Linked DNA regions of Stegostoma tigrinum. The protein of the gene in region 3 purifies or fractionates together with the protein of the main gene of each other region. This does not show direct contact. Links are inferred from orthologs where the notes say so. Each region holds a gene or a part of one and is shown on either strand. Other genes may lie near its edges.

Evidence for each region.
Region 1: the proteins of med4 (region 3) and snap29 purify together in Homo sapiens (affinity purification with mass spectrometry; 3 studies listed by BioGRID and IntAct, with this or other methods). This does not show direct contact. The link is inferred for Stegostoma tigrinum from reciprocal best matches to the Homo sapiens genes MED4 and SNAP29.
Region 2: the proteins of med4 (region 3) and cdk19 purify together in Homo sapiens (affinity purification with mass spectrometry; 7 studies listed by BioGRID and IntAct, counting the BioPlex papers as one, with this or other methods). This does not show direct contact. The link is inferred for Stegostoma tigrinum from reciprocal best matches to the Homo sapiens genes MED4 and CDK19.
Region 4: the proteins of med4 (region 3) and rho guanine nucleotide exchange factor 7-like purify together in Homo sapiens (affinity purification with mass spectrometry; 3 studies listed by BioGRID and IntAct, with this or other methods). This does not show direct contact. The link is inferred for Stegostoma tigrinum from reciprocal best matches to the Homo sapiens genes MED4 and ARHGEF7.

What each region holds. Positions count from the first base shown.
Region 1 is NC_081379.1:7,573,524-7,580,748, forward strand, and holds the start of snap29 (synaptosomal-associated protein 29), read right to left. Parts: upstream 3,004-7,225; 5' UTR 2,907-3,003; coding exon 2,673-2,906; intron 1-2,672. UniProt on the Homo sapiens protein: SNAREs, soluble N-ethylmaleimide-sensitive factor-attachment protein receptors, are essential proteins for fusion of cellular membranes.
Region 2 is NC_081357.1:24,441,893-24,449,528, reverse strand, and holds the start of cdk19 (cyclin-dependent kinase 19), read right to left. Parts: upstream 3,010-7,636; 5' UTR 2,190-3,009; coding exon 2,062-2,189; intron 1-2,061. Other genes in the region: amd1 (S-adenosylmethionine decarboxylase proenzyme), read left to right, coding at 3,527-3,636.
Region 3 is NC_081365.1:72,826,493-72,834,250, reverse strand, and holds the start of med4 (mediator of RNA polymerase II transcription subunit 4), read right to left. Parts: upstream 3,011-7,758; 5' UTR 2,905-3,010; intron 1-2,904. Other genes in the region: integral membrane protein 2B-like, read left to right, coding at 3,245-3,331. UniProt on the Homo sapiens protein: Component of the Mediator complex, a coactivator involved in the regulated transcription of nearly all RNA polymerase II-dependent genes.
Region 4 is NC_081359.1:13,986,409-13,993,249, reverse strand, and holds the start of rho guanine nucleotide exchange factor 7-like, read left to right. Parts: upstream 1-3,824; 5' UTR 3,825-4,220; coding exon 4,221-4,385; intron 4,386-6,841. UniProt on the Homo sapiens protein: Acts as a RAC1 guanine nucleotide exchange factor (GEF) and can induce membrane ruffling. Functions in cell migration, attachment and cell spreading. Promotes targeting of RAC1 to focal adhesions. May function as a positive regulator of apoptosis.

The DNA.
Region 1 (7,225 bases), on a different chromosome or scaffold from region 3:
CAGGTCACTACACGGTCTTTTCTTTTTCAAAAGAGCCCCTGGCTGTTCAGATCTTCTCGATGGTTATTAGCTGTTCAGTTCTTGTTGTCACTTTCTTCTGTTAATCTTGCAATTATGGAAACCAGGATCATGTACTGTATTACACAGGGTGTACACAACAAACTAATTTGACACAAAAAGTTGCTGGAAAAGCTCAGCAGGTCTGGCAGCATCTGGGGAGGAGAAAACAGAGTCAACGTTTCGGGTCTGGTGACCCTTCCTCAGAAGGGAAGTAATTTGACAGTTGATTTACAAGTTTGTGCGTTTATGTTCCACACTACTCATCTCATGCGATCAACTACTTTCCATTGCTTAAAAACAAAGAACTGCGGATGCTGGAAATCAGAAACAAAAACAAATTTCTGGCAAAACTCAATAGGGTCTGACAGCATCTGAATGATCATTTTGGGCCTAGTGACCCTGCCTCAGAACTGACAGTAACTGGAATAAAGTTGGTACATGGACTAAAGAACAGGTGGGGAAGTAAACGACAAGTGGAAATGGAGCCCAGAATGACAGCAAGAGCGAAAATAGGTGGTCAGACAGAGGAATGGGTAAAGGTCAGCCATTCCTTTCTCTTTCATGGTCCCACTTATCTGTTATTCACCTTCACCTCAATGTGGGAACATGTCTCATATTGTTACTGTAGCATACCCAATACAATAAATTGAGTGTTTGAGTTTGTTAACCAACTTCTTGCAAAACAATCCAGTTCCTCCCACCCCTTACTCTTGGCCTATATTCCTGAACTTTTAACCTCATGTATTTTTCCCCAAATGTCTTCTGAATCTGATGCATATCCACCACCTTATCAGGAAAGCGGTTTGAAATTCTTGCCTACTGCAAAAATTCCTGCCCCATTACATCCAACTCATTTGCCAGTAACCTTTAATTAGTTTCCTCTAGTATTGCTCATTGGAAATAGTTTCTCTTCATTTCCTGATTCCTCCTTGATCTTAAACATCTCCAGCAAATCTCCCTTCTACCGTCCCTTCTTTATGCAGCACCAGCAACCCATCATTCTTGGAACTACTCTGAAATCTTAGCTGTATACAAAGCCCTTCACAGGCCTTCCTAAAATGTGGTGTATGGAATGAAACCTACTATTCCTGCAAGGAATGGGAGGATAAACTTCTTTTATATATTGTGTGTGTAATGATTGTAAGATTACTAGTTTTCAAGATGGTAGCAGAGAGACATCTACAATTTAAATGAAAGTAGGCAGAATTGAAAGAAACAAACTGAGCTAAAGGGTTATTGCAGGAAGAACAGGACGGACAGGTTCACATCATGCATCAACTTGAGCTAAAATGCCCTCGCCCGTACTACCAAAAAAAAATCAAACTAATGGGGTCTAGCATTGGTTTAGCATCTTCTAGCTTTCACTTTTTTTCCTAGAACCCAGAGACATTGATGTTTAATTCAAGCAAAATCCAGAACGTAACTTCCACTTTCATTTCTTGCTCAGTTGATCCTACGTTAACATCTTGCTTTTGCTGTAGTTCTGCTTCCAGCACAAGAACTAACACTCGTGTTTCACTGACTTGTCTATGGAAAGCCATGCCCTGTTACCTTCAGGAACTGGCAAAAGAAGTCTCCTTTTTAAATGAAGTGTACAACTTTCATGAATGTTGTTAAAAGATAGCACTGGTGCTGGAGTAATTCAACTACAAAGAGGGATGAGATAAGCTGGGGTTTTCCTTAAAGAGGAAAAGGCAGAGGACACGCAGTGGGGGAACATGATTGAGGTGTACGAAGTTACAAGGGTTGTGGAAACTGCAAAGAGGGAGAAACTTTGTAAAAAGGGTCTACAACAAAAATATACAGTTTTAAGGCTAGAAGCAGGATGACTACATTGAACTTGAGGAAAAGTCATAAAATAGATGAGTCATTGGACTTGGGCAGGGGGAAGCCACTCTCCACAGATGCTGGAAGGCATGGCAAATTTCTCCAGTACATTATGTTTTTGTCTATTCTTAGAAATAGATACATGCTTGATGATGATGTCAATAGCGTGGAGCTGGACATCTGTAGGTCAGGCAGTAGAGGAGCAGGAAAGTCGAGGTTTTGGGTCAGGACCTTTCATCTGAACCGTTTCAAGTTGCACAATTTCAGGGAAACTGCCAGGGTTGTGGGGGTTGGAGCTACAGGAAGAAGCTGAAGAGACTGGGGCTATTTCCTCTGTAGAAGCTTATAAGATAATGAGGGGCATGGATAGGGTCAATAGTCAAGGCCTTCCCCCGCCCCAGGATAGGAAAGTTTAAAACTAGAGGGCATAGGTAACCTAAAAAGGCGAGAGGGAGAAGATTTAAAAAGGACATGAGTGGGAAACATAGAAGGTGAAGCACGAATGGAACGAGCTGCCAGAGGAAGTGGTGGAAGCCGGTACAATTACAACATTTAAAAGGCAACTGGATGGGTACATAAATAGGTAGGTGGGCCAAATGGGACCAGATTAATTTAGGATCTCTGTTCGGCACAGATAAATTGGACCAAAGTTCCTGTTTCCATGGTTTACGTTGGGCTACTAGGACTACGACCGGCATCAACGCGACGGGCTGAAGGGCCTCATTTAGAATCTGTTGTTTGCGGTGAGCTCAGGCCGCGGATATCCCTCAGGCTCGATCCCTCACCTTCGCCGCCTCGGTGCCCACTTGCTCGGACTCGTACATGAGGGCCACGCTACGGCCGCTGCTCTGGACGGCCCTGTCGGCGCTCCTCAGCACCTGCTGCCTCAGGGACCACTGCCTGTCATCATCGGCGGCGGGCCCAGCCGCCCCGTCTTCCCAGTCCGCCGCCGGCCGACCCTCCTGCTCCTCGTCATCCTCTTCGGCGAACGGGTTGTAGCGATTGGGATAAGCCGACATCGCCTTCCCTCGATCGGTCTCGTCGGTACCGAGTTCGTCGCCTTCTCCGGGCTCTCCCCGCCACCGCGCCTCGTCACCTGACAACCCCCGGACTCACCACACGTGACCCCACCCGGGTGATGCACGCCAAGGGCGCGGCCATCTTTGAGACTGGCTGCCAGCATCGTTACGTGACCCCCAGCCCCATGCTTTCCCACCCGAAAGAGTCTTGGCTGACTTCTCTGAAATTCAGTAGAAACACAGACTGCTAGAAAGGCTCCACACGTGCGGAGAGGGAACGATATAAAAGTTTACGTTTCAGGTTGATCTGAATTTTCAGTAGGTTTTCATTTCGCCCTCCCTGTAGGTTTATCGAACAAAATCAGAGTATGTGGGATTGGGCGCACAGGTAAGTGTTGAGAATTGGTTAACAGACAGAAAACTTGAGTAGGAATCTGCAGGTCATTTTCAGGATGGCTACAGCCTCTTACCAATGGGGTACCTCAAGGGTTAGTGTTGTGGCCACAGCTGTTCATGAAATATATAAATAACTTGGTCTTGGGGAAACAAATGTAATATTTCAAAACCTATTGTTGACACAAAACTAGTTAAGTTGTGACAAAGTTGCACAAAGGCTCAGGTGAACCTGAATTGACTAAATAAATGGGCAAGGACACGATGAGCAGACATCTGGATTGACTGATTGACTGATTTATTGTCACATACCAGAGTACAGTGAAATGCTTTGTTTATGAGTAGTACAGGTAGATCATAGTAAGCTAGGTTGTGCTGATCAGAGGTTGTAAAAAGTCTTAGATAGAGGCATACAGGTTATGTTGCACAGGGCATGTGCAAGGCAAGATCAATATTAGCAAGATCAGCATTATTTGAGGCTGAAGGGTCCATTCATCAGTCTAATAACAGTTGTGAAGAAGCTGTTCCTGAACCCACTGGTGCATTTATTCAGGTTTCTGTATCTTCTGCCTAACACAAGAGTTTTAGATGTTGGCAGCCTTTCTGCGGTAGCGGGCCATGTACATAGAGTCCATGGATGGAAGGTTGGCTTCTGTGATGATCTGGGCTGTTGCCATACCAGGCCATTGTGCACCTGGACAGTGTGTTTTCAATGGTGCGTCTGTAGAAGTTGATGAGGGACCTTATGGAAATGCCAAATTTCTTCAGCCATCTGAGGAAGATGAGGTGTTGCTGTGTCTTGACCATCGCATCTATGTAGAAAGTCAAGGACAGGTTGTCAGTTATCGTCAGTCCGGGGAACTTGATGCTCTCCACCCTCTCAACCTAAGTTCCGTTGATGTAAATGGAGACATGTTCTCCTCCTTTCTTTATGAAGTCGATGATCAGTTCTTTGGTTTTGCTGACATCGAGAGGACCCATTCCCGTTGCCACTCCTTAGTCGCACCGCAGTCCCCAGCAACAACTCCAACCTGCCCGGTACTTTCCCCTGTATCTGTAAAAGTTGCAACACCTGCACACACGCCCCCTGCCCCACTCCCTCATCTGCATCCAGGCCTTCCAGGTGAGACAGAGCTTCACCTGCATCTCCTCAAAACTAGTCTACTGCATCAGGTGCTCCCGATGTGGTCTTCTCTGTGTTGGTGAGACCAAATGTAGACTAGGTGACTGTTTAGCTGAGCATCTTTGCCTGGCCTGTAAAGGCCAAGCTAACCACCTGGTGATCATCCATTTCAACTTCCCTGCCCCCTCCCCCTCCAACATGTCTGTCCTTGGCCCCCCTCCAGTGTCTCAATGACTCAGAGCGCAAATTTGAAGAACAACACCTTATCTTCCACCTGGGCACCTGACAGCCTGGAGGACTCAACGTTGAGTTCTCTAATTTCAAATAACTGTACTCCATCCCCAGGCTACCCTTCCAGCCCCTCCTCCTCCCTTCCATTCCACCTTTTGACCCTCCCTTTCAGCCACTGACCAGATTCGTCCCTCCCATCAACCAACCAGGTCATACCAACTACATCATCAGATGCCATTTCCACCACCCCCAGCGAGATGCCACCACCAGATACATATTCGCCTCCCCTCCCTTGTCCACCTTCTGCAGGGACCGTTACCTCCGGGACTCCCTGGTCCACACTTCCTTCACCTCCAATACCCCTCCACAGACCCACCACCTTCCCCTGTAACTGACAAAGGTGTAATATCTGCGCATTTACCTCATCCCTCCACAGTATCCAAGGGCCCAAACACACCTTCCAGGTGAAGCAACACTTCACCTGCACTTCCCAGCATTCAGTCTACTGCATTCACTCACACAATGTGGTCTCCTCTACACTGGGGAAACAAAACAGAGACTTGGTGACTGCTTCGCAGAACATCTACGTACTGCTTGCAAAAAAGACCCTGAACTACCTGTTGCCTGCCACTTTAATCCACCACCCTGTTCTCTGGCCAACATCTCTGTTTCTGGCTTGCTGCAGTGTTGCAACGCAAGCTGGAGGAGCAACACCTCGTTTTCTGCTTGGGGACCCTGCAGCCTTCCGGAATTAATATCAAGTTCAGTAATTTTAGGGCCTAAACTCTCCCATGTCCTAGCCCCCCACCCCACACACCAGGCTTTGTTAACACATAAGCTTGCCATTACACTCGGTGTTGTTAGTCACTGATGGTCCCCAGTAAGAACTATTCGCCCTCCCAGCCTGATTGTAATCAACACTTTGTCTGTCCAACTGTCTTTCTCTTTAGGCTCTATCCTATTGTTTACTCCCTAGCCCATACTCCTCCTTTTGCATATAAACTGATGTTTTCCCAGCCACCATCAGTTCTGAGGAAGGGTCACCGGATCTGAAATGTTAACTCTGTTTTTCCTTTCACAGATGCTGCCAGATCTGCTGAGCTTTTCCAGCAACTTGGTTTTTGTTCCTGATTTACAGCATCTGCAGTTCTTTTGGTTTTTGTTTGTAACTACTACCAATGTCCACCTGCCACTACCATTCCGACTCCACCTCTCTCCCCACTTCATCCGCAGCTCTCCCTTCCACCACATCCAGTCCCAAAGAACGGTAATACTTGAAATGTTGACTGCTGCTTTCCTCCAGATGCTGCCTGGCTTGCTGTGTTCTTCTAACTTCCAAACGTCAGCTTTCCTGCTCCTCTGATGCCGCCTGGCCTGCTGTGTTCATCCAGCTCCACACGTTGTTAACTCCTGTTTGTCTACTAGTCTTCACTGATTGTGGTCTTTGGGTCAGAAAGCTGAGGGTCCAGTTGCAGAGGGCGGAGCTGAGACCAAGGGCACACAGTTTTGAGATCAGTCTGGGAGGCGATAATGGTGTTGAAGGCAGAGCTGTAGTCAATGTGCAGGAGTTTGATGTACATGTCTTTGTTGTCCACATATTCCAGGGATGAGTGCAGGGCTGGGGATATGGTATCTGTTGTGAATCTGTTATGTTGGTAGGCAAACTGTAGGAGATTGAGGCAGGTTGGGAGCCTGGACTTGATGTGGGCCATGACCCACCTCGTGAAGCATCCTATGATTAATGAGTTCAGAGCCACTGGGCAGTAGTCATTAAGGCACACTGCATGTGCTTTCTTAGCTATAAAAATGATGGTGGTCTTCTTGAAACAGGTGGGGACTTCATCGTGTAGGAGGGAGAGGTTGAAGATGTTGGTGAATACCTCTGCCAGTTGGATAGGTACATGAAGAGGAAGGGTTTTGAGGAATATGGGCCTAATGCTGGCAAGTGAGACTAGATTCATTTAGGATAACTGGTTGGCACGGACGAGTTGGACCAAAGGGTCTGTTTCTGTGCTGTACATCTCTATGAACCTGTAAATGTAGAGTGATTCACTTTGTGGTAGAAACAAAACACTGTATTTCCTAATTGGTGAGAGGTTGGGAAATATTGATGTCCAAATGGAACTGAGTGTCCTTTTGAAATTGTAAAGATTTAAGGTGCAGGCCAGCAAGCAATTGGAAAGGCAAATTATACTTCGGCCTTCATTGCAAGAGGATTTGGTACAGGTTTTAAACATGACTTTCTCAAGGGCAACTAGGGATGGGCAATAAATGCTGGCCAGCCAGCAAGTAAATATAAAAAAAAAGCTGTTGGAGACTTGGTGAGACTGCAGCTGGAATGATGTGGATAGATTTTGTTTCCTTATCAAATAAGGAATATACTTGCTATGGACAAAAGAAATGAAGGTTCACTATACTAGTTCCTTCAAGAATGGGATTGTCTTACATTGAAACATTGAAGAAAATGGGTAAATGTTATTCCAGAGTTTAGAAGAATGAGAGGGGCTCTCATTAAGAGTTAACAAGGACATGATACATGAATTTAGACAGGATGTGTCCTTTGACTGTTGAG
Region 2 (7,636 bases), on a different chromosome or scaffold from region 3:
CAAAAAGAAAAACTGGATACACAGCATCGGTGGAGCAAAACAGGCTCTAATTTTTCAATAATTCATGCTGACAATAGGGAGGGGTGTTGGGTGGGGTCGTAGAATTGCTACACAGCGTGGGGCCCACAAATTCCACAGCTGGCTTCACGCCACTTCCCCTGTCCTGTACACAACTACATAGGTGTCAGCCCTAGCCTGGGGCAGTTCCCCCACCATCAACTCATTGCAGGCCTTCAATGACTAATTATTGGTCACTCAGGGCCTGTACCCACTCAACAGCAATTTTTTGGCTAATAAGAAGAGTTCAGGGACTAATGGCAAGTTGGGGACCCACAGCTTACCCTAATCAGGACTTTGGAGGGGCTGACATATCACTGACACCCTCTCCAAAATGAACACCCACAGCCTCAGCTCCCACTAACCTAGCTATCATGAATCCCACTCTCACCTCTTCCCTTTGTCTAATCTTCCTGGATCCCTAGTGCTTACAGTCACCAACAATTGAATTGCTCTGGGTAGTGCTGCTGCAGTGAAGACATGTGAATCAGTACTTTAGATGATCACAGGTTTATCTCATTGCCTGTCATTTGTCAGTTAGCACAGTGAAACAAGAGCTTGTCTTTTAGTGTGGAGACGCTGTTGTGTTGCAGATATCACACAATTCTGGCTGATCAGGAATCTTTTTTACACTTTTTGCCTGCTAAAGGCGTCAGAAGGATTTACAGGTTGATAGTCAACCATTTTGCCATGTTATGAACCCATCTTTCAAATCCATCAAGTCCTACCATCTGACTTGAACACAAAGCCTGCGAATTACAGGCAAGAAGGCTAACAATTGCACCACAAAATCTCCCTGAGCACAAGTTTATGAAGAGCAAAGTGTGGGATATTAGGAGTGCATCGGAATCATCAAGTCTATAGGTAATGAAAGCATAGAAGAGGATTACAGCTGAGAAGGGGGTTAAGTCAAAAGATATTAGAAATGGATCAAGCTGTCTTTGAGGTGGCACAAATATGATATCAGCTCACTACTGGATCTGACATAACACTAGAATTGCAAAGAGATTGATTTAATATCAAACTGTTGCCATGGAGAGGGATGCAGTTCATAACAAAGGATTTATACTCTTTCTCTAAAAGGATCTAACGGCAGATTATTTGAGGAACCCCAGATTTCGAACAATACTCTAAGTCAACTCAAAAACAAAGTTGCTGGAAAAAGCTCAGCAGGTCTGGCAGCAACTGTGAAGGGAAAAACAGAGTTAACGTTTCGGGACAACAAAGTGCAGAGCTGGATGAACACAGCAGGTCAAGCAGCACCCTTAAACGTTTCGGGTCCGGTGACCCTTCCTCAGAATTCAGATGTCAACTCATCTAACTTCCTCACGAATGGTCAGCCCCATTTCTACTTTCACTCTGCCTTGGAACCCAAGTCGACATTAACTGACACATCAATGCAAATTGCTGTTATCATATCTAATTTTATGCACGGAAGTAAACCGCACAGTTCGGTCAAAGAATAAAAGTAAATACGTTGTTCATTACTTACTTATGACTACAGTTACAAAATACAGTACCTAATATTCAAAAACACGGTCAAGATTTAGGACTTCTAAGTATCTGAGTGTTGTGAAACATGGAAGACAAGCTACATTTTAATTTGACAGTTCCGAAATGTGATTTAGTCTTATATTATGGGCAGCACTGCTTTAACAGCTGGCGTTCAGCCGAGAAAAAATTACTATACAAAGTCTAGAATAAAAGAAAACCGAAGAAGTAGTCTGTTTTATATCATACCAATAAACCTATCAATAAATACATAGTTTCCAAAACAATGGTTATGAGGGCTGGAGGCCTCGGCTTGATTAAACGGGTTACAATAAGGAGTTGTAAACACAAGGTGTGAGGATATATTTACAAACCAGAAACATCAACATTGGTCTTGCAGCACGTGAACTGAGTAACCCAGAAATAAACTTTTAAAAAGGCATACTCTGATAAGTCTTACTGGGCGCCTGCAGCAACACCTCACAAAATCGCCTGAAGGTACTGATTTCTTACCCATCTTTTCTTTTTGCTTTGTAAACATGACCGTAGGTACCACGACCCACTTTGCAACCTTCATATTCAAACAGATCTTCTACTTTCTCTCGCTCTGCTGCTAGTTTCGTCTTAAAATCGTAATCCATGACTGTCACTCCATAAATGCATAAATACTTTCAATGTCTGTTGGAAGGGGGAGGAAGGGAAACGGGCTGGATTATTTAAACTGAGCACCGATCATTTCCTTATTTCGTGTGTATTTTTTTTGTCTCTTCCAACAAGTTCGCCCGGCGACATTTAACCATGGGTTTGTTATGTTGACGTTAGCGGCAGACAATGGCGGACCGCGAGGCATGCCGGCATTTGTAGTCCTTAGAGCTTCGGCAGGGCCTTGACTAGCGCGGCTGCATCCCGGGGTCAAAGACTACAACTCCCGTCGCTCATTGCTGCGGACGGTTTTAACCGTTTTCGGATCCAAAAGTAAAAACAGTTAGTCCGAGCAGAGCAGCAGACGGGTGTGGGGGTGGGAAAGGGTGAAGAAGCACCGGGACACTGAAATCAATAAACAGCGATAAGATATTCAAATACACATCGGAATAAACCTTCAACATCCCTTTTTGTTCGGAAAAACTAAAATGTATCTGTTACATTCCCGCCTTCTTGCGATACGGCACTGCGATAAACGTGACTGACTGCGAAACGAACCAATCGCGTTAGGAATCGGCCCGAAAAAACGAGGGTGAGATGAAATCGTGCGATGGCTTTTATCGAGCGTTAAAGAGGTTTGGGGCAATTTATTTGCAATGTCTTCTCGTTTCCTTCCCCCCGCCCCTTCCAAACGTGCAACTTTTATAGTTGAATTGGAACGTCGATCTGCGCGCGGCTCCACTAACGGTTTTGCCCGGGCGCAAGGTCTCGCGCCGAACGTTCGACTGGTGATGGTGACGGTAGTGGAGGGAACGGGCAGGGGCAGCTCCAGCCAGGCCGTTGACGTCACAGCAGTTCTATTGTGCCGTCGGTAGAGAGGGCGGTGCAGCAGACAGTTTGGAGAAGTCAAGTGATTGGGTTGGAGCGGATGGGGGTGGTGAGCAAAGGAGGGAGGCGGAGGTTATAAAAGCCGGCGCCGGCGGACGTCTCGCTGCTAGTCACAGTATGGCCGGCGACATTAGCTAGCGCTCGCTGGATGCAATTCTCTGTGTAGAGGGATCGCATTGGGGGCAACTACGAAACATTATATATATATATGTATAAAAAAAACAAACAAAAAAATCTTTTTCTTGAAAAAATAGGGAAGCAAAGCAGAAACCGGACCGCTCAAGAACCCACTAAAACAGAGCAATTGACACTAACTTATTAAGCTTTTTACCAGAGAGAGGGGGAAAAAGGGGGGGGAGGTTTTTTAAAAGAGAAAATAGAATTTGTAGAAGGGAAAAGAGGGAGGAGGAGGGGGCGAATTTTTCTTTCCCCTCTCGTTTGTTTCACGATGGAAAACGGTGCACACTTTTTCGAAGGGACCGAGAAGCTGTTGGAGGTGTGGTTCTCTCGGCAGCAGGATCTGTGCACGGGATCGGGAGACCTCCGGACCATTCCAAGGTAAAATACATATATCATTAAAACAATAATATCAGCTAACAGCAAAATGGTGGGGGGAGAAACGCACCAACTCAGACCGGGGACACTTAAACGCGCTCTCTATGTTCTATGTTCTCTCTGGCCTTGGGTTGTGTGGGTGTGTTGGCGGCCAGGGGGGGTTGGGGAAGCACCGTGTTTAAGGAGATACGCCACAAATCTCAATCAATCTCTCTCTCTCTCTCTCTCTCCACCCCCCCCCCCCCCCAAAAAAAACCAGGGAAAGGAATCAGTGTTAAGGCAGGGAATCCTGGATTGTTCCCTCCTTCAAAATTAAACGATTATTTTATCAATTCCTTATTCAAAAGCCTGTATTGGAGTGGGGGCAGGATTTAAGAGGCCAGGTTAATGTGTGTATATGGGGTGGGTCTGTTGGGGATGTATGAGGGGCTGGGGTGTGTGAAGGTGTGGAGAGTGGTGAGGGTGTTGCAATATCTGTATTTATTGACTGGTTGTGGGGTGTAGGTGTGTTGGTGAGTAGGTGGATGTGTGTGTGGGAACCCTTAGGTTGAACGGGATGCGGGATCTCTCCCCGCCCCCCGATTCCTGCCTGATTTATTTCGAACGGCGGGCGCTGGGCGTGGCCCCATCTCACTCTTCGCCCTCTTTGCTGCCCCGCTGCTGCCATTTTCTGCCAAGCTGCACTTTGTGTGTGTATGTGTTGGGGGATGGTTTGAGTGCGTGTGTTTTCAGTTAGAAGTCTGGCCAACCTAGTAACAGGTGGCCAGCCGCAGTTTCTGACGGAATTTGGGGGTGCTGGATTGGCTGCTCTCACGCTTGTTCCTGAATTTGAGTCGTGGTCTCATTTGTTCAGGGCCGTACCTTCTCTCTCTCTCTAACTCTCCCCCCTCTGGCGGTCAGGGAAAACGTGCCCATTCCTTTCAAAGGGGTCTGTCCTTTTTAAATGTGCACCGTGATTTCCGGGGAGGGGGGTACAGTCAGGCTGAATGCACTCCACGTGTACTCAATAAATTACTTAATTCACAAATGATTTAATAAATAAATTATTCATAAATTATTTAATAAATCCTCTGGTGAGAGGAACATGGGCAAGTCGGTGAATTTGTTCCTCCATGTTTTGTGTTGGATGAAAGGAGGTTTTCTTGGATCATTTTTCTTGGTGGGCATGGGGTCGAAATCTGTCAACACGCTCTCCAAAATGATTGAAGACTTTTTTGTATATCTTGCACTGAGCGGAGTTGTCCGTCCTTCTCGCTTTCTAAAAAAAACTAGGTGGAAGTTAGGTGTGACTGAGTTTGAGGAAACGCTACCTTTATATGAGCAGCATTCCAAACTGGGAACGTTGGTGACCAAGGTATTAAACATTACTGCTCAACAACTTCATCTCTCAAACCTTGCTCGGTGAATGTATGGGGAAAGGGGTCTGTATTTTTTGGCGGGCACATCACGTGTTTGGGTTATCTAACACACAGCCTTTCCCCATCCCCCTGTTGCAGAAACTACATGTTTGCGCCTTTTCCAGTCGGTGGGTAGCAACCGACCCTCCCAGAGTTAAATATGCTGCTGATCGCAAGGACAGCAGGAGGAGCGAAATTACAGACGCCTAGTTTTTTCCCCCCCCATGCGGCGCCTGTTGTGGTTGCCTCATAGTTCAGCATGACTAGTGTAAATTCAAACTGGATTCTCTACACTGAACAGGAATTGTCCGATCGACGTCCGCGAGTTGGCCACTTTTAAAATACTTAATTCAGTTTTCTCCCAGTACTTTGGCAAGTTCTTTCCCCAGGTTGGGGAATACCTGCCCCCTTGTACTCGCCTTTTTTTAAATTTATGTACAATACATGGGTGCCATTGTACAAAGGCCGGTCGCCTACTCCCATCAATCGATACCGCAGTGCTGAGCTCTTGCTGTCTCATTTTACAGCCACAAATAGCGCCCTCTCTGAGCACCGGGAAAAGTCTCCTTTTCTTTGAGATTCCCTCCCTCTAATGTGTTGTCACCAGTTCTGCGTTTCCTGCTATTTTCGTATCGTCAGCAGATAGGATTGATGGCGGGTCTAGATGAATGCCTGAAGTCGAATTACTGGTAGATATTAAAACGTACGCAGTGTTAATGACAAATCTCCGTTCTCAACAAATGTGTGAAGACGTGGATCAGCCAAACGTCGTTTGATTTCAAGTGTAAGTTGGACTTTTGAGAAGTTTACCTTCATGGCTTACTGAAAGCCTGTTTATATTAAATCATACTTACTGCGTTCACGCTGCATATGGGAGGTGTTAACAGGCCGTGGTTGAAAGAAAGAACTCGTCATTTAAGACTTTCCACAACCTCAACTTTATTTCATAACCTCTAGACTAGAGACTTGAAATAGAGAAGCAATACAAGGCTCTGCAAACAATAAAATGTTTCTGTAATGTAGTTTGAGGGAAGGTTGTTGAAAAACCTGTATTTAAATTCACCCAACACTTCCCCAAAGCAGGGGACGGAGATGTACACTGACAACTCCAGTCTTGATTTCATTGATGCTAATCTGACATCCAATATTGAATTAGCAGAAATGTTAAATATTGAAAAGACCAAAGGCATTACTTTCAGAGATAACAAGGTGTAGAGCTGGATAAACACAGGCGAAGCAGCAATTTAGGAGCAGGAAAGCTGACATTTTGTGTCTAGACCCTTCATCAGAAATGGAGGAGGGTTCTGAAATAAATAGGGAGGGAGGGGGAGGCGGATTGAAGATGGAGAGGAGACAGACAAGTTAAACAGGCAGGGATGGAGCCAGTAAAGCTGAGTGTAGGTGAGGAGATAGGTCAGTCCAGGGAGGACGGATAGGTCAAGGGGGCAGGATGAGGTTAGTAAGTAGGAAAGGGGGGTGTGGCTTGAGGTGGGAGGAGGGAATAGGTGAGAGGAAGAACAGGTTAGGGAGGCGGGGATGCAATGAGCTGGAAATCCTGCAATTCATCCCTCACACCCCGTCCGCGCAATAACAACCAAAAAAGAATCCCCCCTCATCCTCACGTACCATCCCACCAACCTCTGGATCCAACGCGTCATCCTCCAACACTTACGCCATCTGCAATCCAACCGCACCACCAAAGACATTTTCCCCTCCCCACCCTTGTCTGCTTTCCGGAGGGACCATTGCCTCCGTGACTCCCTTGTCTGCTCCACACTCCCCTCCAGCCCCACCACACCTGGCACTTTTCCCTGCAACAGCAGGAAGTGCTACTCTTGCCTCCACACCACCTCCCTCACCCCCATCAGAGGCCCCAAGAAGATTTTCCACATCAAGCAGATGTTCACCTGCACATCTGCCAATGTAGTATACATCTTACTCTTCCTCTTCCTGGCAGCAGTTTGAGACTCTGCACCTGCTGTACCTGTTGTGGCCTCCTGTATATCGGGGGAAACCAAGCAGAGGCTTGAGGACTGCTTTGCAGCACACCTACGTTTGATTCGCGTTAAACAACTGCACCTCCCAGTTGCGAACCATTTCATCTCCCCCTCCCATTCCTCAGATGACATGTCCATCCTGAGCCTCCTGCAGTGCCACAACGATGCCACCCGAAGGTTGCAGGAACAGCAACTCATATTCCACTTGGGCACCCTGCAGCCCAATGGTATCAATGTGGATTTCGCCAGCTTCAAAATCTCTCTCTTTCCCCCCCCCCCCCCCCCCCCTGCATCCCCCCCTCCCTAATCTGTTGCCTCTCACCTATCCCCCCTCCTAGCTCAAGCCGCACCCCCATTTCCTGCCCACTTGACCAGTCAGTACTCCCTAGACTGACCTGTCTCCTCCCTTCCTCTCCACCTACGCTCAGCTTTACTGGCTCCATCCCTGCCTCTTTAACTTGTCTGTCTCCTCTCCATCTATCTTTTCCTCTATCCATCTTCGATCCGCCTTCCCCTCTCTCCCTATTTATTTCAGAACCCTCTCCCCTTCCCCCATTTCTGATGAAGGGTCTAGACACAAAATGTCAGCTTTCCTGCTCCTAAGATGCT
Region 3 (7,758 bases):
CCACCTAGCCTGCACGTCATTGAACTGTGGGAGGAAACCAGAACACCCTGGGAAACCCATTCAGACAAAGGGAGAATACGCAAACTCCACACAGACAGTTGCCCAAGGGTGGAATCAAACCCGGGTCCCTGGTGCTGTGAGGCAGCAGTGCTAACCACTGAGTCACCGTTCTTTGGACCTCACTGACAACTTGTATTGCAATGCTCCTGACAGGCCATTGGAGACAGACCCATCTCTTGCATGGGAGCAAGCTGCATCTCGAGGCTTTTTGCTCGTTCCCCTTAGCATTTTGGGACTGTCTGGATCCTCACAGCACGTCTGTCCTGCGTTGCCTTCCTGCATATTGCCATATCATTCAGAAAGGGTAACCCTTTAATATTTCTGTCTTGCCTGTCTTTCATCAGGGACACAAAGCTAGGCAGCTTGTCATGGTTGTCAGAAGTGATCAGTCAAGGGGGTGGACATAAAACTGTCTTGCATCATGCTATATCAATGTCATACTTACAGCCTGTAGGCAGCTTGTGTGATTAAAGCACTAAGTGTGCCTTAACTGAATGCCATGTTTCAAAGTTTAAAGACAGTAGTCCTCATTCAAGTCAAAGGTAACTGTTGAACCATGACAAGCTGCCTAGCTTTGTGTCCCTGATGAAAGACAGGCAAGACAGAAATATTAAAGGGTTACCCTTTCTGAATGATACGGCAATATGCAGGAAGGCAACGCAGGACAGACGTGCTGTGAGGATCCAGACAGTCCCAAAATGCTAAGGGGAACGAGCAAAAAGCCTCGAGATGCAGCTTGCTCCCATGCAAGAGATGGGTCTGTCTCTAATGGCCTGTCAGGAGCATTGCAATACAAGTTGTCAGTGAGGTCCAAAGAACGGTGACTCAGTGGTTAGTACTGCTGCCTCACAGCACTAGGTGTAGAGCTGGATGAACACAGCAGGCCAAGCAGCATCAGAGGAGCAGGAAGGCTGATGTTTCAGGCCTAGATCCTTTTTCAGAAATGGGGGAAGGAAAGGATGTTCTGAAATAAATAGGGAGACGGTGGGGGGGGGGTGCAGATAGAAGATAGATAGAGGAGAAAATAGTTGGAGAGGAGACAGACAGGTCAAAGAGGCAGGGATGGAGCCAGTAAAGGTGAGTGTAGGTGGGGAGGTAGGGAGGAGATAGGTCAGTCCAGGAGGGACAGACAGGTCAAGGGTAATAGGTACTGCAGATGCTGGGGAATCCGAGATAACAAGGTGCAGAGCTGGATGAACACAGCAGGCCAAGCAGCATCAGAGGAGCAGGAAGGCTGACGTTTCTGGCCTAGACCCTTCATCAGAAAAAGGTGGCGGGTTGAGGTTAATCGGTAAGTGATGGGGGTGGGGCTTGAGGTGGGAAGAGAGGATACGTGGGAGGAAGGAACAGGTTAGGGAGGCTGGGATGAGCTAGGCTGGTTTTGGGATGTGGTGGGGGAAGAGGGATTTTGAAGCTTGTGAAGTCCACATTGATACAATTGAGCTGCAGGGTTCCCAAGCGGAATATGAGTTGCTGTTCCTGCAACCTTCGGGTGGCGTCGTTGTAACTCATATTCTGCTTGGGAATCCTGCAGCCCAACGGTATCTGATCGTTGCATTCTCTGACTGATCTCCCAGCTTCCTCTCTACGTACGGTGGCTCAATGGTTAGCACTACAGCCTCACAGCACCAGTGACCTGGGTTCGATTCCAGGCTCAGGTAACTGTCTGTGCAGAGTTTGCATATTCTCTCCGTGGGTTTCCTCCGGGTGCTCTGGTTTCCTCTCACAGTCTAAAATGTGCAGGCTAGGTGGATCGGCCATGCTAAATTGCCCATAGTATTCAGGGGTGTGTGGGTTATAGGGGGATGAGGATGGGTCTGGGTGAAATGCTCCAAGGGGTGGTGTGGACTTGTTGGGTCGAAGGCCCTGTTTCCACACTGCAGGGAATCTAATCTAATAACATTGTGCTTACCCAAAAACTCTGATGTCCACATCATAGCTCCCTTCCTTATTTTCGAATTGCTCCTTAGCTTTCTACATTTCATTCAATAGCCTGCTGTATTTCTAGTGTCTTATTTTATTCTCTAATCAACACATTCAGAGATGTATCAGAGGAGCAGGACGGCTGCGTTTTGAGTCTCGAGATTTATGAAGAATGGTCTAAGCCAGAAACACCAGCCTTCCTGCTCCTCCAATGCTGCTTGGCCTGCTGTGTTCATCCAGCTCTACACCTTGTTATCTCAGATTCTCCAGCATCTGCAGTTCCTACTATCTCTGTTCAGAGATGTTATTGGATATCTTTGGGGCTTGTGGGAATGCTGGAGACTACAACAAGTCAGGTAGCGTCCATGGAGAGAAAGCAAGCTAACGTTTAAGAGTCTAGATGAGCTTATCAGAACTGAAGTCAGGTGTGGGGGGGGAGCAGCACTTCTGCAACAGTTGGGGAGGGGTTCGAGTGCTGGGGGAGAAAGGCTGTTGATAGTTTAGATTAAGTGATAGGAATATCAGAATGGCAGAAGAATGGTGCATCTAACTGCCAGACTGGAAATACCTAGGTCTCCTAGTCTAAAGTTACCACTGCACCACGAAAACCCAATTCGAGCGACTTGCAGATAAACGACTCATTCCGCTTCCTTGACCTGTCCGTCCTCCCGGGACTGACCTATCGCCTCCCCATCTTCTCCTCTATCCATCTTCGGTCCGCCTCCCCCTCGCTCCCTATTTATTTCAGAATCCTCTCCCCATCCCCCTTTTCTGATGAAGGGTCTAGGCCCGAAACGTCAGCTTTTGTGCTCCGGGGATGCTGCTTGGCCTGCTGTGTTCATCCAGCTCCACACTTTGTTATCTCGGATTCTCCAGCATCTGCAGATCCCATTATCACTGATTACCTTTACCTTCACCTACCTGAGGGCAACGTTCCCTTCGAACGCCCACTGGGCATACGGGGCAGGAGTCCTTTACCCTAAGGGCGGGACGGGGCGTGCCGCCCACTGGGTGGTCCCTCCTCCCTGGGGCGGGGCTCATAGGTCCCTCCTCCCCCACACACACACGACACATGGGGGCGGGGCAGCGTTCCCTGGGATCTTCTTGCTGAACGCGGTCGGATATTTATGTTTGTGAGCTGCGTCATGCGGATGATTCCGAGGTCCAGCTGGAAGTGAAGCGGGGTGGGTTTTAGTCCGGAGTGCGCCGAGCCGAGAGTTGTGTTTTTGTTGGGTTTGCGCTGCCATCTCGTACTGCCACCATGGTGAAAGTGTCCTTTAACTCTTCGCTGAGCCAGAAGGAGCCTAAAAAAGAGGAGAACAACGAGGCGCTCGTCATCCACGAGAAGGTACGTTTACCGGGGGCGGGGGCTGTTTGGGGAAAGGAGGGGGATGAACTGTCCGTGGTTTTTCAGTTTATTGCCGGACCTTGGACAAAGTCTGGACAGTGTTTTTGGAACCAGGGACTGGGCTTTCGATTTCCAGTTTGTGACCCGGAATGCGGCCTTTGGTGGCCTGATCTCTTTGCCCTTCCGTGCATCAGCTGTCCCTGGATATTGAGCCCGGGTCATAGTCCCTGTCCTCGGATGTGGGAAGGAGTCGACTTCGACCGTTCGCTGTAAAATGGCTGACGGTGTGGCTGGGGCCCATCCTCTTCGTCCTGACTGTCTGTCTCTTTCCCTCCCCCCCCCCCCCCCGCGGAGGAGGCATCGGCGTCGTTGGGAAAAGTCCACGCACGCTTGGCGATCGCCCAATACCCTGCATATGGGCCAACCCCACTTCTGCTTTTGGATTTGGGGAAATCCGATCAGGGACTGGTGAATGTTCCCTCACTAGGTGGGGTGGTACAGGGAAAAAAAGTCACTTTTTAAAAAAATCCTATTGGTGCACGCTCTTACAACTTTCAGATTCAATATCAGGGTGTCTGCACAAATCTTCTGTCACATTGTTGAAGTACGTCGGGTTCGGGGAAAACAACGGGAGAGATTATCAATTGTTACAATTTCTGATGAACTGGATTTTTTTTTTAAAAAAGTCAACTTTTGAAATGGTTTAGCATAGAGAAGACCATGCATTAGATCTTTTAGGTGGCAGAAAATTCGAACTTGACAAAAAAAAGCGAAAGTTCTGTTAACTAACTAGTAAGTACTTGCACTTCGAACCAAAATTCCCCACTCGACTTTTCCGCCTGTTCTGGTTGCACTTTCAACTTTCGTAGCTACATGACGGGACCCGAAGTTCTGTTCTAATTTGGAACCAAGCTACTTTGGACTCTTGCTCGCAAAAGATTCTGCTTAGTTTGCTAGCTTGGCATTCAGATTTCCTAATCTCCTGTTTCTGCAAGGACTCTGCCAGTTTCATTACCAACTTGGTAGATCTGGCAATTTTAATTTTTCAAAATGCAGGAGGCACATAAAGACACTTTGCCTATAGAGGCAATGTTAGGACAAAAGAACCTTGCTAAACTCTATGGACCCATTTCCATAACCTGGGCAATGGTAGTGCACATGGCCTGTTCCCAAACACCTGTAAACTGTTATTTGAGGAAGAAGTGAATACTTGATGTCTTATTGTCTTGATGTCTACAAACATTTTAATTGCAAGAATAATTTAAACTGCTCCTCCTACGCCCTGACTGTTTTTGTTTTTACTGGCTTTCAATTTAATATGAAATATTCTTGCAAAGTGCTTATGGCCTGTCTTCTCAAGATATTTAGAGAAGCCATTGTAATCCAAGGCATGAATGCCTTGCCACCAATCCAGCAACACAGTAGAACTCTTTCTTCACCCTCTTCTCCCTGCTGACCAAATCCAGGAATTCACGCCTATCTAATAACTTGGTTTTAATAGACTGCCTTTTCAAAATTTAAACCACGTCTTAAAAATGTAGTTTTCAAAACTAAAATGGTCTTGTCTGTATTTGGAACACAGTAGTGATTAAAGGTTTGTCAAATGATTTTTTATTTTGAATAAAACAAATTTTATAAAATGGTTTTCTTTTGATTTGAGGAAAGGTGGAAGCTTTGTGGCAGGAACCAAGAATGTGAGATCTAGGTGTCCTTCTAGCTGATGTGGTCGAAGAGGTTTGCTGTATAGATTGGAGTGGTTCCCTTAGCATACAACTTGAGACCCTACATTAGACTACTATGGAACACCAGTTGATGATGAGTTCTGAAAGCTTGGTACAGAAGGCTTTAAGAAAAATATTAAAGGACAGTGGAGGTAAGGAGAGTTTGGAAGACAGAATGCTTAGGACCTTGGTATAGCCACAAAATGGAAGAAATTAAATTTGGGGATTCTCATAAATTCACTTTTTAAATATCTTGGAGCTTTGTGGGGCGACAGCACATTACTGTAATGTGGAGAATTTGGTAGAGGTGGTTAAAGTTTAAAATAGGCATAATAAGTTTAAAGTTGAAGGACCAGAGACAATGGCATCAACAAGGATAGGTGGTTGGTGGTACTCTAAAATACTCGCACTCACTGACCTGCACCATGTTGGTGACACATCTAGTCCCTTTAGCTGATGTACATTATGCTGTGTTTTGTTTGTCCAATAACTTGAAGCATGCTATCGACAATTAGCCAAAAACATCTCTGACACTGATGTGATCTCAGGCTCATTGGTAATGCCATGGCAGTTTGTCGTGTTATAATTGTTAGGCTTCATTTCCAACTCCTGTCATGCTAATGAATGATATTAGGGTAGTGCTTCTGCTGAATGCTATTAATTGGGCATGAAACACAACTTAATCAGCAACTCCTGTGTGCATATGTGAATTCCAGCTGTAAACTTTTGGTTTACATAAACAACCTCAAGACTGATGTGTAGCCAGGCTGTGCTGCAGAGATTTCTGATTCTGAACCTGAGATAACAGTTGCACGTATTGTACAATTTTAGTTTCCATGTTCTGGAAGGATATTGGAGTATACAGCCCAGACTGCCTAGAATGCTTTTTGATGTGAGGAATTGAAAAAACTTGAAAATTGAGAACATTTTCAATTGAGCAGAATGTTTAAGGTGGATTTCATAAACTATCCATTGACAACGTTTGGAACTATTACCTCTCTTGACCCTTCTGCCTGTTCTCCCTGAATTCAGACTGCTGTATGGTATTTGACATCCAGCATTGGATGAACAGAAAATTCCTAAGAATTTGAAAATCTGAAGCCATAATCTTATCTCCACCTCAAACTCTGCTCCCTGGCTGCAAAATCCATCACTTTCTCTCTTTCAGCACTAACCCTCAGCCAGAGTATAAACAACCTTTGTCATATTTGACTCTGGGGTTAGCTTTCAGTCACATGATCTAATGTTGCCCAATGTCACTTCCCTGATCCTAAGATGCTGCTTCACCTGCTGTGTTCATGCAGCTCCACACCTTGTTATCTCTATCTCTAATGTTGCCTATCTCTAGTTCACCTTCAGTTATTTCTGAGACTTCCAGATCTGACTGTTCTAGCGTTTGTAAATTTCTATTCACCCTCCTCAGTTTTACCTGTGTGAACTTGAGATGCACTGCTTATCATAATACCCACCAAATGTCCTTGCCATCAAACTGCACTAACTCAGTTGACTCACAATTAATGCATCTTCTAAAATTCTCCCTTTTCTTGCTTTCAAACTATGCTGAGACCTTGCCCTGTCCTGTGTCTACTTAATTCCAGCCCTGAGATCTGAAAGATCTTCACTCTTTATTCTTAACCTCTTGAGCATTTCCCATTTGCAGTTGATGGCAGTACCCTTAATTGCTGAGGCCCCAAGCTTTCGAATATCGTCCCTACGTATCTTCATGTTTCTATCTTGCTTTTCATCTTTTAAGATAGTTGTAGAATTGTTAAACCCATGCCCTCTTTTGTACTGTCCTACCAAAGCAAAATGACCTTGGCTACAGGTGTCACAGTGGCTCACTGGTTAGCACTGCTGCCTCATGGTGCCAGGGACATGGATTTGATTCCACCCCCTGACTGTGTGGAGTTTGCACATTCTCCATGTCTGTGTAGGTTTCCTCCCACAGTCCAACGATGTGTAGGTTGGGTGGATTAGCCATGGAAAATGCATGGCTATAAGGATAGGGTAGGGGGTTGATTCTGAATGATACACTCTTCAAAGGGTTGGTGTGAGTTTGATGGGCTGATGACCTGCTTCCACACTGTTGAGATTCTTTGATTTTTCTTTTGAAAAGAGAGATTTTCACCCTCTGTGCCCTCATGATTTCAAAAACCCTTATAAGGTCACCCCTCAGCCTCTGACCTTCCAGGGGGGAAAAACCCCAGCCCTTTCAGCCTCTCCCTGTAGCTCAATCTTTGTCGTCCTATCAACATCCTTGTAAATCTTCTCTGAACCCTTTCACATTTAACAATATCTTTCCTATAGTGCTTCAAAAACTACTTTGACCAAATTTTTAATCCATCTGTTTATATTTCCGTTATGTGACATGGTTCATTCAGTTTCATTATGCATCTTGGATGTTTCAAGGCATCATATACATGTTATCATTACAACTGAATGATGCAAGTTGATTTTTTTTAAAATTAGTACATTGGCTTTCCAGTCGAAGTTTAAACCAAGGAAACCGGCCTGTAAAATTAAATGATGCTTATTTCTGTCTTTGCAAAATTGGCAAGCTCATTCCAGGCAAATTTGCCTGACTGGAACCAAAATCCTGCTGAATCTTTTTCCAACTTACAGGTTCTATATTGGTTTTCCATTCCTCAAACCTGTTTTCCAGCCTACTTAGCCTGCTCCTTACTTATTCCATGATCGTCAATAGTT
Region 4 (6,841 bases), on a different chromosome or scaffold from region 3:
AAACAGAATGGAAGGAAATAGTTGGGAACTGTTCCTTCAATCACAGGCTGCTCTCTCCCAAGCTTACTGCTGCTAAGTTCACAGTGAGTCCATCAACAGCAAATGTGGGAGGGTATCAGCCTGCATTTGGAGGAATGAGGTCAGTGGCAGAGCTAGTGGACAGAATAGAAACTATGCTGGCCAGGCGGGGAGTGATGTCAGTGAGCAAAGCCAGCAAGACTGTGAGAGAGGCCTCTCAGTAGTGGGTGTGATACCAGGACCTGTGCAGCCAAGCCAAAAGCCTGGAGGAAATGAGGCTGTAAAGTTTTGAGAGAGGTGGGTGTGTGTGTGTATGTGTGATGGGGGAAAGACCCTCCAAAGGTTGGAAAAAGTACAAAATGGGAGAGAAATGCTGCAAAGGGAAGAAACACTTTTAAACATTTCAAGAAAGATATACTGTCCTAAATGGGAACATGAGAATAAAACAATTTACTGTTTGGGGAATTCCTTATGTCTGACCTGCTCATGTAAACACTATTTTCTGAACAATGGTAATCCTCAGGATTGTTGATTTTGGAAGATTCAATGTTGGTAATACCATTGAACGTTAAGGATGAATGGTCAGATTCTGTCTTGTTAGAGAAAGCTATAGCCTGGGGCTTGTATGATGGAAATGTTACTTGACATTTATCAAATCATAAATTTCCTGCAATATTGTGGAAACTTTAAGGCTGCTGCATTGGGTGGGGTGGGGGGGAAAGTGAAATAAATATTGTGTCAATTGTTTAATACTGTACTGTTTAATTTCATAAAGACTGACATTTATGTGTTATCATACCTCAAAGTGTTTCACTTACTGGGAAATACTTGAGGCCATGTTGGAGACAAACATATAATGGTTTTCTTGTGACCTCACCATAGAATCCGAGAGTGCAGGAGGAGGTCATTTGGCACATCAAGTCCACATCAACCTCATAAAGAGCATCCCACCCAGCCCCAGCCCATCGCTGTATTTACCATGACCAATCCACATAATCTGCATATCCAGGGAGGAAACCCATGCAAATTCAACATAGTCACCCAAGGCTGGCATTGAACCCATAATCCTAGTGCTGTGAGGCAGCATTGCCAACCACTGAGCCACCATGCCACCATCTGCAGAAAGCATGTTTCGTTTGATGGCTTTTTTTTCTGGATAGAAGTGGGTCAGTTTTATATTTTAAAAATACTTGTTGCCAATTTATGTCTAGGGCCAATTTAAATACCAAGATGTCCAAGAAAGTAATATTTTCCTTAAGAGTCTTAAAATTTTAAATTTAATGGGGGATAAATTTAATCGGGGATAATCATGAAAATTTGAGTTCTGCCTGTGTGCGAATCTAAATCCTCAGCATATCAACATGAAGATAGAAGATACTGTTACCAATTATTATTGTTGTTACTACTCACTGCATCACCTAATGAAGGTGTACATGACACTGTGAAAGGGACACTTGAAAATTTTAAAAAAGCCCCATTAAAATTAAATCAAAAGGCATCAGCTGCTTCCCTCCATCAAAAGGTCAGAGGTGGGGATGTTTGCCGATGATTGCACAATGTTCAGCAACATTCACAATTTGTTGAAGCAGCCCACGTAAGTATGTGGAAAGACATGTCCAACACTTCAGGCTTGGGTTGATAAACATTTACACTACACAAGTCCCAAACTATGGCTGTCTCTAACAAGAAAGTATCTGACCATTAATCCTCGATGTTCAATGGTATTACCATTGCTGAGTCCTGCAAAATCAACACCCTCAGAGTTACTACTGACCTGAAGCTTAACTGTACAAGCCATACAAATAGTGCCAACATGAGGAGGTCATAGACTAAGAATTCCCTGGTGAGTAACTCACCTCCTGACTTCCAAGAGCCTGCTTACATGGGACAAGTCTAATGGACTGCTCTCCACTTGACTGGATAAGTGCAACTCCAAAAACAATCAAGAAGTTTGACAAGGCAGCTGCCTGCTTGGCATCCCATCATTCCTTTCACCACAAATGCACCATACCAGCAGTATGTACCATCTACAAGATGCACTAAGTCTCCTTTCACATCAGCTTCTAAACCTGCAAAACATGGAATAACGGTAGTGGATGCATGAGAGCAAGATTGCCTGGAAATTCACTCCAAGGCACACACCAACTTGACTTGGAACTAAATCACTGTTTCTTCAGTGCCATTGAGTCAAAGTCCTGGAACTCAATGGCTGACAACACAGTAGGTGTACCCACCACCATGGGCTTCAGCAGCTCAAGAAGGTAGCTCAGCATCAACTTCTCGAGTTGGTGCAAGAAATGTTGTCCTAGCAAGAAATGTTCACATCCCATGAGATTTTTTTTAGAAAATAAAATTCCTTTAACGATAACATGTGCAATACAATTGTTCTCTAGCCTACTCCAACCAGACATTGGGAAGGCGAAAGTCATCTCACACAGTTCCTGATTCTCACTCTACATAGTCATCTAGAACTTTATTCCTTTGTGGCAAGTTTGCATTCATTCCTTGTTCATAACTGGCCAAGGAGGAACTCCATGGCATTCAGCCAGTTGAGTATTTACAACAATCTAGAGGTTTGGTGCCAAGCTAAAAGTATCAGGTTTATTGAGTTTTTCTTTCTACCCTTTACATTGTTAACTTTAAACTCACCACCACACAATGTTTCCTAATTAGATCAGGAAAAGAACTAGCACTGGTCTCTGGTCTAACTCATAAACATTTCTGGGGGGTTGGGGGAGAGAAGAGAAAGAGGACTGGGGTTTTGGACGGGAGAATTGTTTCGGGGTTTGGAGGGTTAAGGGTGAGGATGACCAGGAGGAGTTTGAGAGCGGTGAGGACAGAGATGATGAGGATTTCTATTTTGGGGAGATGACTAACAAGGAAAATGTCTTAGTGGGTAGGAAAGAGAGAGTGGAGAGGCGTCCACAAAGCATTGGATTATGTGGTCGAGCCCATTGAGTCTGGTCTCCAGGGAATTCTTAGCCTATAGCCTGTTCATGTTGACATTTGTATGGTTTGTACAGTTAAGCTTCAGGTCAACAGTAACTCAGGATGTTGAATGGCTAATCTGACAGTCTTGAATATCACTTTCCTGGCTTTCCCCATAATCCTTGTTATATTGACTAACTAAAAATCTGTTTATCTCAGCTTTGCATATAGTGAACAGCCCAGCATTGACAGCCTCGATGGTAAAGGGAAATATGTAGACAATGGGTGGTACGGAGGGTCTGAGAAGGTAAAGGAAGTATGCGGGGGGGGGGGGGATGGTTGGGTTGAACGTCCATACAGAGGGGACAGTGTGAGATGAGATGTGGGTGGGGGAGTTAGATGTTGCGAGTGTGGGAGATGTGGAGGGGGTGTGAGATGCCGGGGTTTTGGGGGTATGGAGTGAGATACTGGAAGTTATTTCGAGTGAGGTAGTTGATGTTAACTACCGTTAACTACCCCGGGGTAAGTTTCCAGGGGTAGATGTCTGGGTGGGTTAATTGTTGGGGTGAGGAAGGGACTAGTTATCTGGTCGGGGATGGATGTTGGATTGGGTTGGGGGTAACTGTCAGGGTGGGGACGGTAGTTGTCGATTTGGGGAGGCAAGTTATTGGGGTAGGAAGTAATTGTCGGGTGGCGGGGTGGGGGTAATTGTTTGGTGTTGGGTTGGAGAGAAATTGTCGAGGGTTGGGGTAATTGTTGGGTGTCGGGGTGGAGGGTAATTGTCGGGTTGGGGGTATTTGTCGAGTGGGGGGGGGTAATTGACGGGTTGGGGGGGTATTTGTCGAGTTGGGGGGGGTGTAATTGTCGGGTGTCGGGGTCTCCGGGCCCTCCTCTATTGCTGGGTCTCGGGCGGCACTAGAGGGCGGCAGGACCCGGCTTCGGGCTCAGTCTGAGCGGCGGCAGTGGGCGGCAGGTTCGGAGCCGCGATCGTCCCGGAGAAACAAAGAGAGCCGCCCCGGGGGCAAGGAGGGAGGTTACGGGATCAGAGAGATCCCAGGCGATAGCCGTCCCTTCCGAGACACACCGGCTCTATCAGTACCGAGTGATGCCGGGCTCGCCGCTTCGGAGCTGGGACCTCGGGAAGCAGTGAACCGCGGGGACTGGGAAAAGGCGGCGGCGGGGATTGTCCCGGGGCCCGGGAAGGAAAAGGGGACTGTTGTCCCGGGGCCCAAGGCTCGGATCCCTGCACTCCCGGTGAATGGGGATCGGTAGCGATGAGCTCCGCTGAGCAGACGGTCACTTGGCTGATTACACTCGGGGTCCTGGATTCCCCCAAGAAAACAGTGTCGGACCCCGAGGCTTTCCTACAGAGCTCCCTGAGGGACGGGGTGGTCTTGTGTCGCCTCCTGGAGCGCCTGGTGCCTGGATCTATCGACAGGGTGAGTAAACCTGGCGGTGCTGACCTCCCTCCCCCGCCCAAAAACAATCCCGACGTCTACCTGTGTCATCGGTGTATACCTCTACCCCAATGCCACCCAGATCCCAACAGGTCTTGTCCCTTTCTGTCCGCACCGCCCCAGGGGATCTGGGGATCTATTTTACTCCCTCATCTGTGGGGATCTGGCCTCTCCCACTCCACTCCCCATTCCCACTCAAGAGTGGGATCTTCCAGCATCATTCGCTGTCCTTTTCCAGCTCTGGGCTGTCTTGCTCCCCAACTCTCCTTACCCCATTCAGGATGTCTAGATCCCACATTCTCATAGATGGGGTGCCAGAGGCTCTGTGGTGTTAACATGCTGAAGGAGATCTGACTGCCCTCCCACACTCCTTAACACCATCCCCTTAACCCAAGTACAGCCGATACGAGGTGCCTGTACCCCACATGTCCAGACATAGCTCACTATTGCTAAACTTGAGGTTCTGTACTCCTAATCCTGTCCATATCCGTCACCCTGAGAACTGCACTTGAGCCACCTGAAGATCAGGAACTGTATGCCATATCAGCAAACTCCCACCCCAAAACGCACGCACAAACATCTGGCAACAAAGTGAATCCCCTATTACCCTTCACCCACAGACTCTATAAAGCTCCCAAACACCAAAAGGGACACTACTTTCTTAGGGCTCTCTTCTCTCCTGGGGCTTATAACATTGTACTGATTATCTCTTGGTTCTCTAGCTGCTCTTCGTGAACACTGTCCCTTACGTACAGGGTAGAGGATGGAGAGGGAGATGTCTAAAGTATTGTATCTTCTGGTCCTGGAGTTTACAACTTTGGCTTGTGTTCCATTGAATATGAAAGATTAAGTTTGTAGTGTTTTATGATTATAATTATGAGAGTGAGGTAATATAGATATACTTAAGGTGATCAAAGAACTGCAAATATACTAATCTAAATTATATAAGCCTTTCACACCCTCAGCATGCCTCAATATGAGCAGAATGAGATAAACTGTTTCCTCTGGGGAAGTTCAGAACAAGGGGGCGTAACCCTAAGATTAGAGCTAAATTGTTCAGGCATGATGTCTGGAAGCATTTCACACAAAAGCTGGAACTTTTTCTCCAAAAAGATGTCATGCTTGGAGGTCAGTTGTAAATTTCAAGACTGACGTAGATTATATTTTCAGGAGTAAAATGCTGCAGGTGCCGAACATCTGAAATAGAAACAGAAACCAATTCAAGTACACAGTGGTCTGGCAGCATATGCTGTGATGAAAGATCATTAATTTAAAATATAACCTTTCTTTTTCTTTCTGTCAATTTGATTTTTGTTGGGTAAGAATATTGAGAAAAATGGGTTAAAGGTGGGTAGATGGAATGAGATCCAGATTAGTCATAATTGAATTAAGATGCTGATGGTCCTCCCATTCCTGTTTAAACTAATCCATAGTGTTTGGATCTATGTTCTGCCAGGTAACACTACATGACCACTAAGTCCCACAGTCTCAAAGTATTTTTAATTAATAGATTTTGCTTGTCTGTCAAACAAAATGTTTTGAGATTTCTGACATCTTGAGTTGGTTCTGTATCTAATGACAGAGCTTGGATTTCATTTAATTTATGAGCTGTATAGGATGGACTGAGCATCAGTGCCTACTAGGATTCAAATCATTTGGGTGAATGAGAAGGAACTGGGAGGAAAATGTTTGCTTCTCACTGCTCAAGTAAAATCAAATGATTTTAATCATTCTGTTCACAACTTTCACGTTCACACCAGGACATTGCGGCCAGTGATACATGTTTCAAATGTGGCCACAGTTGTAATGCTACTTGAATCTGATCCACCATTCAAAAAAATCATGGGTGATCTGAGTGACAACCTTGACTATCAAAAATTAATCAGTCTTGATTAAGTTTGATGACCCAACGTCCACTGTTTTCTAAGGAAGGGCACATTACAAACTATCGATTGTCTGATAAAAAACTTTTTTCTTCCTATCCATCTTAAAACGCAGGCTTCCTGTTTTTAAGCTGTGTCTCCTGAAGGGAGTCTGTTCGGCAATTAGAAACATCCTCCTTTATCCACCTTATCAAGACCCCTCAGGACCTTTATAGCTTCAAATAGATCACCACTCATCTTTTCAAGTTTCAGGGGTAGGGCCAATGTGTTTGACTTTTCTCCATAAGTTAAACTTTCATCCCAGGAATTAGTCAGTTGAACCTTTTCTGAATTGCTTCGGATCTAATGATCTAGCAATAATTTTCTCAAATGAGGAGTTTAAACTGTACAGAATGCTTTAGATCTGACCAAGGCCCCATACAGCTTGCGGTATAGCTTCCCTACTTCTATATTCCCTTGCAATAAAGAACAACATTTCGTTTGCCTTCTTCAAAATTTGCTGTATTTGAATACTGGCATTTTGTGACTTGTGTACCAGGACACCCAGATGCCTCT